Cricetulus griseus: one gene and its partner. The protein of the gene in region 1 purifies or fractionates together with the protein of each later gene. This does not show direct contact. Links are inferred from orthologs where the notes say so. Each region holds a gene or a part of one and is shown on either strand. Other genes may lie near its edges.

The links.
Region 2: the proteins of Cdk4 (region 1) and CCAAT/enhancer-binding protein alpha purify together in Homo sapiens (affinity purification with western blotting; 3 studies listed by BioGRID, with this or other methods). This does not show direct contact. The link is inferred for Cricetulus griseus from reciprocal best matches to the Homo sapiens genes CDK4 and CEBPA.

What each region holds. Positions count from the first base shown.
Region 1 is NW_023276806.1:130,641,401-130,645,305, reverse strand, and holds the start of Cdk4 (cyclin-dependent kinase 4), read left to right. Parts: upstream 1-1,298; 5' UTR 1,299-1,456; intron 1,457-1,911; 5' UTR 1,912-1,931; coding exon 1,932-2,149; intron 2,150-2,293; coding exon 2,294-2,429; intron 2,430-2,535; coding exon 2,536-2,703; intron 2,704-2,855; coding exon 2,856-2,965; intron 2,966-3,491; coding exon 3,492-3,542; intron 3,543-3,856; coding exon 3,857-3,905.
Region 2 is NC_048602.1:3,363,938-3,367,842, forward strand, and holds the start of CCAAT/enhancer-binding protein alpha, read right to left. Parts: upstream 2,611-3,905; 5' UTR 2,487-2,610; coding exon 1,371-2,486; 3' UTR 1-1,370. UniProt on the Homo sapiens protein: Transcription factor that coordinates proliferation arrest and the differentiation of myeloid progenitors, adipocytes, hepatocytes, and cells of the lung and the placenta.

The DNA of each region.
Region 1 (3,905 bases):
TCCCCAAATGGTGGGAGACAACAAAGGAGTTGGAGCCCACAACACAACGAATGCCAAATCTACCTGTCTACCTAGATTTCTGTGGGCACAGACCACTTGGGAAATGCCCATAAGGGCAAGAGTAGCTCTAAGAAAGCTGCATTAGAAATAAAAAGGAATGTGACACCAATGATGAGTTGCATGTTTGCAGAGGGACACAAGACGTTCTCGGGCAACATGGTGGTCTGAAGTGGTGTTGGTGACCGCCCTTGTACACGCTCACCGTTTTGTCTGTTCATATGCACAATTACATACATATGTAACACAATACAGAATCTTAGTGTTAAGAGCCTTTTAAGATCAGGCACCCTGTTGGGCCGTAGTGGTGCACGCCTTTAATCTCAGAATCCCAGCACTTGGGAGACAGAGGCAGGCAGATCTGTGTAAGTTCGAGGTCAGCCTGGTCTACAGAGAGAAACCCTGTCTCGAAAAAAAACAAAACAACAGAGTTTCCAATAACTCCTTGCTGCTTTTAATATTCCCAGGGAGGTTTGCAAGTTGGAAGAGGGGAGGGCATTACGTTGCCACTCTTCCCATACAGTGACTGAGTATATTAATCCTGCTGTCCATCTTTTAGCCCTAGTTTCCTTCTTGGATAGGAATCGTACTCCCTGTTTCATAAGGGGCCACACTTGCCTACATTAGATACCCTCATCATTACTTCAGAGGGCGAATGGCTGAGACACCAAAACAAAAACATCACATACCAACTGGAAAGGAGCCCTTAGTAAAATTTTTGTTGAATGAATGAGTAAAACGAAGGCACAGTATACGAATGCTCCTTCCCCATGGCGCTGGAGTGAAAAATGTGACAGTCCCATCTCTGGTACCAGGATCTCCCACTAGCACCCGGACCTCCCCGCCCACGTCCAGACAAGGAGTGAGACGGAGAGATGCGCACAGGCTCGGCCTTGAGCCCAGAGTTGAGAGCCGGCTGGCCCGGTTGCCATGGCACCGCCTGGTGCTCCACCCTCCCTCGCCCCCACACACCCCCTCGGCAGTCAGGGACTGGCGGCGGGTCACGTGGTAGGCGGCGTAGCCACGCCTCTGCTTCCCAGCGCAGAGCTGAGGGGTCACGTGGGATAGCAACAGGTCACGTGCCCGAGCGAGTTTCGCCCCCCCCATCCCAGGTCATCCACTGCGCATGCATGGATGGATGGATGGATGGATGGAGACCACGTGTCCGCCGCGAACGTCCGGCGTTCGCCCCCCCCCCCCGGTTTCCGCGCGCCTCCCTGGCTGCTGGTCACATGGGGAGGGTGGGGGTGAGGGGGGCCTCTCTAGCTCGCGGCCCGTGTCTATGGTCTGGCCCGTAGCGTCCAGCTGCCCGGGACCGATCCCCGGTGTATGGCGCCGCAGGAACCGGCTCCCGGGCCCAGATAAAGGGCCACCTCCGCAGCTCTTGGCCGGGCGAGAGGTGAGTGCAGCCGCTTGCAGGGATGGGGCCCGGCGCCCCGCCACCACCCTATGGATCCCCTCGTTGTGGAAGGATGGCCCAAGGGCGGGAAGCGGGGCCTTTGTGGTCGCGGCCAGCGTGTGATTTTAGGGAATAAAGTGTGCAACCTTCGATGCCAACGCCGTGCATTGTGATGGTCTTCTTTGTGCCCGGTGCGATGTCCCGTTCTCCCCCCTCCTCCTCCCCGGGAGGAATGCATTCTTTTTCGCCCCTCCGGGACATCACGTGGCTGGAGGGCTCGGTGGGAGAGTCTTTTGTGTTACCTGAGGCGCGGCACTCTGGCAGCGTGGAGGGAGGGGATGGGCGGCTGTGTCGGTGCGGTCGTGGGCAGGAATTCCTTTGTTACTGCTGGGTCATCCCCCCTCCTAGCTGTGAAGGAAAGGAGGGCTTGGTTTTAGAAGCCTCTGTGATTGTAGGAGATCTCCCTGCTCCGAGAATGGCTACCTCCCGCTATGAACCGGTGGCTGAAATCGGTGTTGGTGCCTATGGGACGGTATACAAGGCCCGAGATCCCCACAGTGGCCACTTTGTGGCCCTCAAGAGTGTGCGAGTTCCCAACGGAGGGGGAGCTGGAGGGGGCCTTCCCATCAGCACTGTACGCGAGGTGGCCTTACTGAGGCGGTTGGAGGCCTTCGAGCACCCCAATGTTGTACGGTGAGGAGGTTGGATTGGGAGTGGGGAGGAAAGAATGGGATCTGTAAGCCAGGGGTGTGGTCGTCGGGAGTGGGACCCTAGGACTCCAGAGGCCACGTTGGAACAAAGGACATTGACCGGCTGGCGACTGTTTATTTTTGTCAGGCTAATGGATGTCTGTGCTACCTCCCGAACTGATCGAGACATCAAGGTCACTCTCGTGTTTGAGCATATAGATCAGGATCTGAGGACATACCTGGATAAAGCACCCCCACCAGGCTTGCCAGTTGAGACCATCAAGGTGAGCGGGCTGCTCGGTGAGAGGTGGATCCGGGTCTTTGTAGTAGGGACTCTTGGGGTTTTTGAGCGTGTTACATGGTGTCCGGGGCTTTCTCCTTCAAAACCAGGACCTGATGCGACAGTTTCTAAGCGGCCTGGATTTTCTTCATGCAAATTGCATTGTTCACCGAGACCTGAAACCGGAGAACATTCTGGTGACTAGTAATGGGACAGTCAAGCTGGCTGACTTTGGCCTGGCCAGAATCTACAGCTACCAGATGGCCCTCACACCTGTGGTGAGTGGAAAGATGGCAGCCCCAATGGGATTCGGCTTTAGGTAGTACTTGATTTCCCGTAGCAGCTGAGGTGTGTTGTGCTTGACGTTCTCAAAGCCCAGCAGCTATGAGCCATGAAAAGGACTCTCACTCGTTTCTCCTCTTCTGTTTAGGTTGTTACACTCTGGTACCGTGCTCCTGAAGTTCTTCTGCAGTCTACATACGCAACACCCGTGGACATGTGGAGCGTTGGCTGTATCTTTGCAGAGATGTTTCGTCGAAAGTACGGGGCTTGAAACTTTTGTTTTTTAAGACAGGGTAGCCCTGGCTGTCCTGTGACTCCCTCGGAGATCCGCCTGCCGCCACCACCTGGCTCAGGGTGTGGAACTCTTAGGTCCCTTCAGTTACACAAATCTTTTGATGTTACTTATGGTGTTAGAGGTTGAAATCAGAACTGCACATACACTGGGCAAATGCTCTATACCACTAAACTACACTCCCCGCCCCTGGGTCTTTTTACAAGACATACCCGTTCTTGACCATTTTTGTGCATATGGCACTGGACGCCCCAACCTAGGCTCTTGTATTTATCAGGCGCGTGCCCTGCCACCCAGCTATAGTCCCAACCTATCCTGTTTATGTTCACCAACTTGCCTAAAACCAGAAACGATGCAGGCAAATTTCCTGAAATGTCTAGGAATTAGGAACTTTGTGTTCCCTTATTCTCCGTCCTCTCTAATCTCAGCCACTTTGATTATCATTCCCTTATTTCTGAAATAATATATACTTGGAATATTTTTCTACCTTAGGCCTCTCTTCTGTGGAAACTCTGAAGCTGACCAGTTGGGCAAAATCTTTGAGTAAGTGTCCAATAAAGGGGAAAGAAATCCCCCCCCCCCTTTTTGTTTGTTTTTTTCGAGGCAGGGTTTCTCTGTGGCTTTGGAGGCTGTCCTGGAACTAGCTCTTGTAGACCAGGCTGGTCTACAAGATCTCAAACTCACAGAGATCCGCCTGCCTCTGCCTCCCAAGTGCTGGGATTAAAGGCATGAGTCACCACCGCCCGGCTAAAATTCCCCATTCTTAATTCAGTTTCTGCTCAATTCCAAATGGCAGTTGGCCCTGGAGATGGAAACTGGAAAAAGCCCCCCTGACCAGATTTGTGTTATCCCTACAGTCTCATTGGATTGCCCCCAGAAGATGACTGGCCTCGAGAGGTATCTCTT
Region 2 (3,905 bases), on another chromosome or scaffold:
GTCCACCCCTGCTCCCAGCCACAGGGGTGTGCACGAATTGGCTGGAGGTGACCTTCTTTCCAGACCCAGAGCCAGGGCCTGAGGGTGGGGGCGGGGGAGGATGCCTGTGTATACAGTAGTCTCAGCTGGAAGAAGCTAAGACCCACAACGACACCCTGGGAAAACTGGAGGGAGGGTGGTGGTCCTCCGGGAGCAAAAGAAAAAAAAAAAATCCCCAAACCAAAAAGGAAAGAGGGCCCGAGCTTCTTCCCCCAGCCGCTAGCGAAGAGTCTCATTTTGGCAAGAATCTGAGCAAAACCAAAACAAAACAAAAGGACCAAATAAAATGGTGGTTTAGCATAGACGTGGACATTGACATTGCACAAGGCACCGCTGGGACACAGAGACCAGATACAAGTGTTGATATCGGATGATAAAGCAAAATATTTGGGAAGCTTGTCATAACTCCAGTCCCTCTGGGATGGATCGATTGTGCTTCAAGTTCCTTCAGCAACAGCGGCTGGCGACATACAGTACACACAAGGCTGATGGTCCCGGTGTCCTTTCATCCCCTCTCCCCCCAAGACCAGAAACTTAGGTTCCCGTCTCCCACTACTCCCTTAATCACATGGCTAACTTACAGCCTAGCTTTCTGGTCTAGCTGGGGGTGGCGCCCCCCATTCTCCACGAACTCACCCAGGAAACTTAGCCTGTTGCAAGCTGAGGTGCGGAGTAAAGGTGGAGGTGGGAAAAGTAAGAACCGTGCACCTCCAAATGGATGAGGGGGAGGGGTGCGGGAGGGGTACTCTTACAGACTCAAATCCCCAACTCCCTAAGTCCCTCCCCTCTAAGGACAGGGACGGAGGGGCAGCAGCGGAGCGCTGCCTGCCGGGATCTCAGCTTCCTGAATCTTCTTTCTCCTGCCCTGGGCCTGCACCCTTCATGCTCTCATGGGGGGGGGCCTGCCGCAGCCTCGGAGAAGGCAGGGATCCTCCAAATAAAATATCAAGGCACATGTGTGCTCCCCCTACTCGGTAGGAAAAGGAGCGAGTTCTGAGTATCCAAGGCACAGGGTGACTTCCTTACTTAATACTAGAACGGCCGGGCGGGCTCCCGGCTCAGCTCCGCGGACAAGTCTCCCGGGCTCCAGGAGAAAAACTGCGGCCTGACTCCCTCATCTTAGACGCACCGAGTCCCGGCTCAGAGGAAGGGAGGGGACACGCGGAGTAGGCCAAGCTCTCAGACGACAACACCGCCATCTCCTAGTCCTGGCTTTCACGGGCCCGGGGCAGCCTGGAGATGCAGCGACCCGAACTCATTCTCCGGGTCCCCGGCCAGGGGTGGGGTGGGGTGGCCGGCCCAAAGGCGGTGGGGTCCCGCAGCCGCGCGCCTCACGCGCAGTTGCCCATGGCCTTGACCAGGGAGCTCTCGGGCAGCTGGCGGAAGATGCCCCGCAGCGTGTCCAGTTCCCGGCTCAGCTGCTCCACCCGCTTGCGCAGGCGGTCATTGTCACTGGTCAGCTCCAGCACCTTCTGCTGCGTCTCCACGTTGCGCTGCTTGGCTTTGTCGCGGCTCTTGCGCACCGCGATGTTGTTGCGTTCCCGCCGCACCCGGTACTCGTTGCTGTTCTTGTCCACCGACTTCTTGGCCTTGCCCGCGCCTGCGCCGCCGGCGCCCCCGGCGCCCCCGGGGCGGAGGTCGGGGTGCGCGCCAGCCAAACCCTTGAGCGCACCCCCGGGGGCGGGCAGGCCCGCAGCCCCCAAAGCGGGCGCGGGGTGCGGGCTGGGCACGGGCGTGGGCGGCGGCGTGGGGTGGCCGGGCTGCAGGTGCATGGTGGTCTGGCCGCAGTGCGCGATCTGGAACTGCAGGTGCGGGGCGGCCAGGTGCGCGGGAGACGCGTGCGGGTGCACCGGCGGCGGCGGCGGCGGCGGCTGGTAGGGGAAGAGGCCGGCCAGCGCCAGCTGCTTGGCCTCGTCCTCCTCGCGGGGCTCCTGCTTGATCACCAGCGGCCGCAGCGCCGGCGCCCCGACGCGCTCGTACAGGGGCTCCAGCCTGCCGTCCAGGTAGCCGGCCGCCGTGCAGCCGTAGCCCGGAGGGGGCCCGTGCGCCCCCGCGGACATGACCGCGCCGCCGGGGCCCGTCGGGGCGCCCGGGTAGTCAAAGTCACCGCCGCCGCCGCCGCCGCCACCCGCGGGGCCCGCGGCCGCCTTGGCCTTCTCCTGCTGCCGGCTGTGCTGGAAGAGATCGGCCAGGAACTCGTCGTTGAAGGCGGCCGGGTCGATGTAAGCGCTGATGTCTATGGACGTCTCGTGCTCGCAGATGCCGCCCAGCGGCTCCGGGGCAGCAGGTAGGGCTGGGGGAGGCGCGGGGCCCGCGCCCCGGGGGAAGCCGAAGGCGGCGCTGCTACTGCTGCTGCTGCTGCTGCTGGTGGGCGCGTGCGGGGGACTCTGGAGGTGGCTGCTCATCGGGGGCCGCGGCTCCGCCTCGTAGAAGTCGGCCGGCTCCATGGAGGAGTTAGAGTTCTCCCGGCATGGCGAGCCTCACGGCGGCCTCCAGCCTGCGCGTGGCGCCGCTGCCTCCGCCGCCGCTCGCCCGCTCACCGCCGCCCGCTCGCCGCCCGCCCCGCCGGAGCCCCCGACTCGCTCGCGCGCCCCGCGCAGCTCCGGGTCGCGAATGGTCAGGCCCGCGCGCGATCCGCTCTTATAGGGGGATCGGACGTCGCCCCCTGGTGTCCAAGAGGGTCCCGGGCCCAGGGCGAGGGCAGCAGGGCGCCTGCTGGGTCTTAGAGCCCGCTGTCTGTCTCTCGCTCGCCCTCTGTGTTTCTCCCAGGCGGCGAGCGGGGCGGGAGCACCGTGCAGGGGGAGAGGCGGTGGCGCAACGCCCACTGCCTCCTGCGCTGCGAGGCAGCCCGGCCTGCGCTCGGCCCCACCCTGGCGGCGCTGTCGCCCCCGCACACACGTGGTCCGCGGCTGGGCGCCCCTCCTGCAAGCCTGCCCAAGTCACCCGCTTCCAGCCAACACCGGGGAGCCCGGGAGCATCCAGAGGCCGAGCAGGGAGGGGTAGGGGTAGGGGGTGGAGAGGGAATATTCGTCTTGAGCTACCGGGGTGCAGACTGGTCTTAAAGGCTAGGACTAGGCCTGTCCCCCCCCCCCCCCCAGCCAGGGACCTAGCTGCTTTGTGACTTGCTTTGGAGCGGCGACCTGGCGCGCGCCGCAGAGTGGCAGGGGCCGGAGCGCTGAGATTGTGTGTGTCTCTCTCTCTCCACTCCAGGCGACCCCGCTGATTATTCCAGGCGGGGCGCCTCTTCCCCGCCCAGCCAGCCTCCCTACCCCGGGGTCCCGCGGGATCCGCCGAGCAGGGCGCTAGGACCCAGCAGGGAGCGAAGGCGGCCGCTAACCCGGGAGTCCCGAGGACCTGGCCGGTCCATCCGCTCCGGCTGGAAAACTTTCTTTTTAATTACGTCTCCCGGCCAGAGCGCCGGGGTTGCTAGGCTTCCAAGGCGGGCGCTGCTGCCTGGTGTGGAGCCTCTAGCCGAGCGCTTGGGACCTCGGGACCGGCGGGTGGGTCCTCCGAGACTCGGGGAACAGGACACCAGGGCAAGCGCGCGGGGGCGGGGAGAGGGCAGGGTGTGGGAGAGAGAGGGAGGGAGAGAGAAAGACAGAGACAGAGAGGAGGTGAGCGGGATCCCCAAGCGGGATCCTTAGTCAGGAGCCTAAAGCCACAGGTTTCTTTCCCTCCTGTCATTCGGGTGGGCGCCAATCTCCGTCGCCTGAGTGTCCAGTCCCTGGCTACGGAGTCTGAGCACCCCCTGGGAGTACCCTGTCGGGTCCCGGGGATCCTCGGGGCCGCGCCGCCTGCAGGCTCGCAGCTTGGGTAGGAGTTTGCCTGCATAGTCTCCCCAGCCACGTGGCGTTGGCGACGGGCTC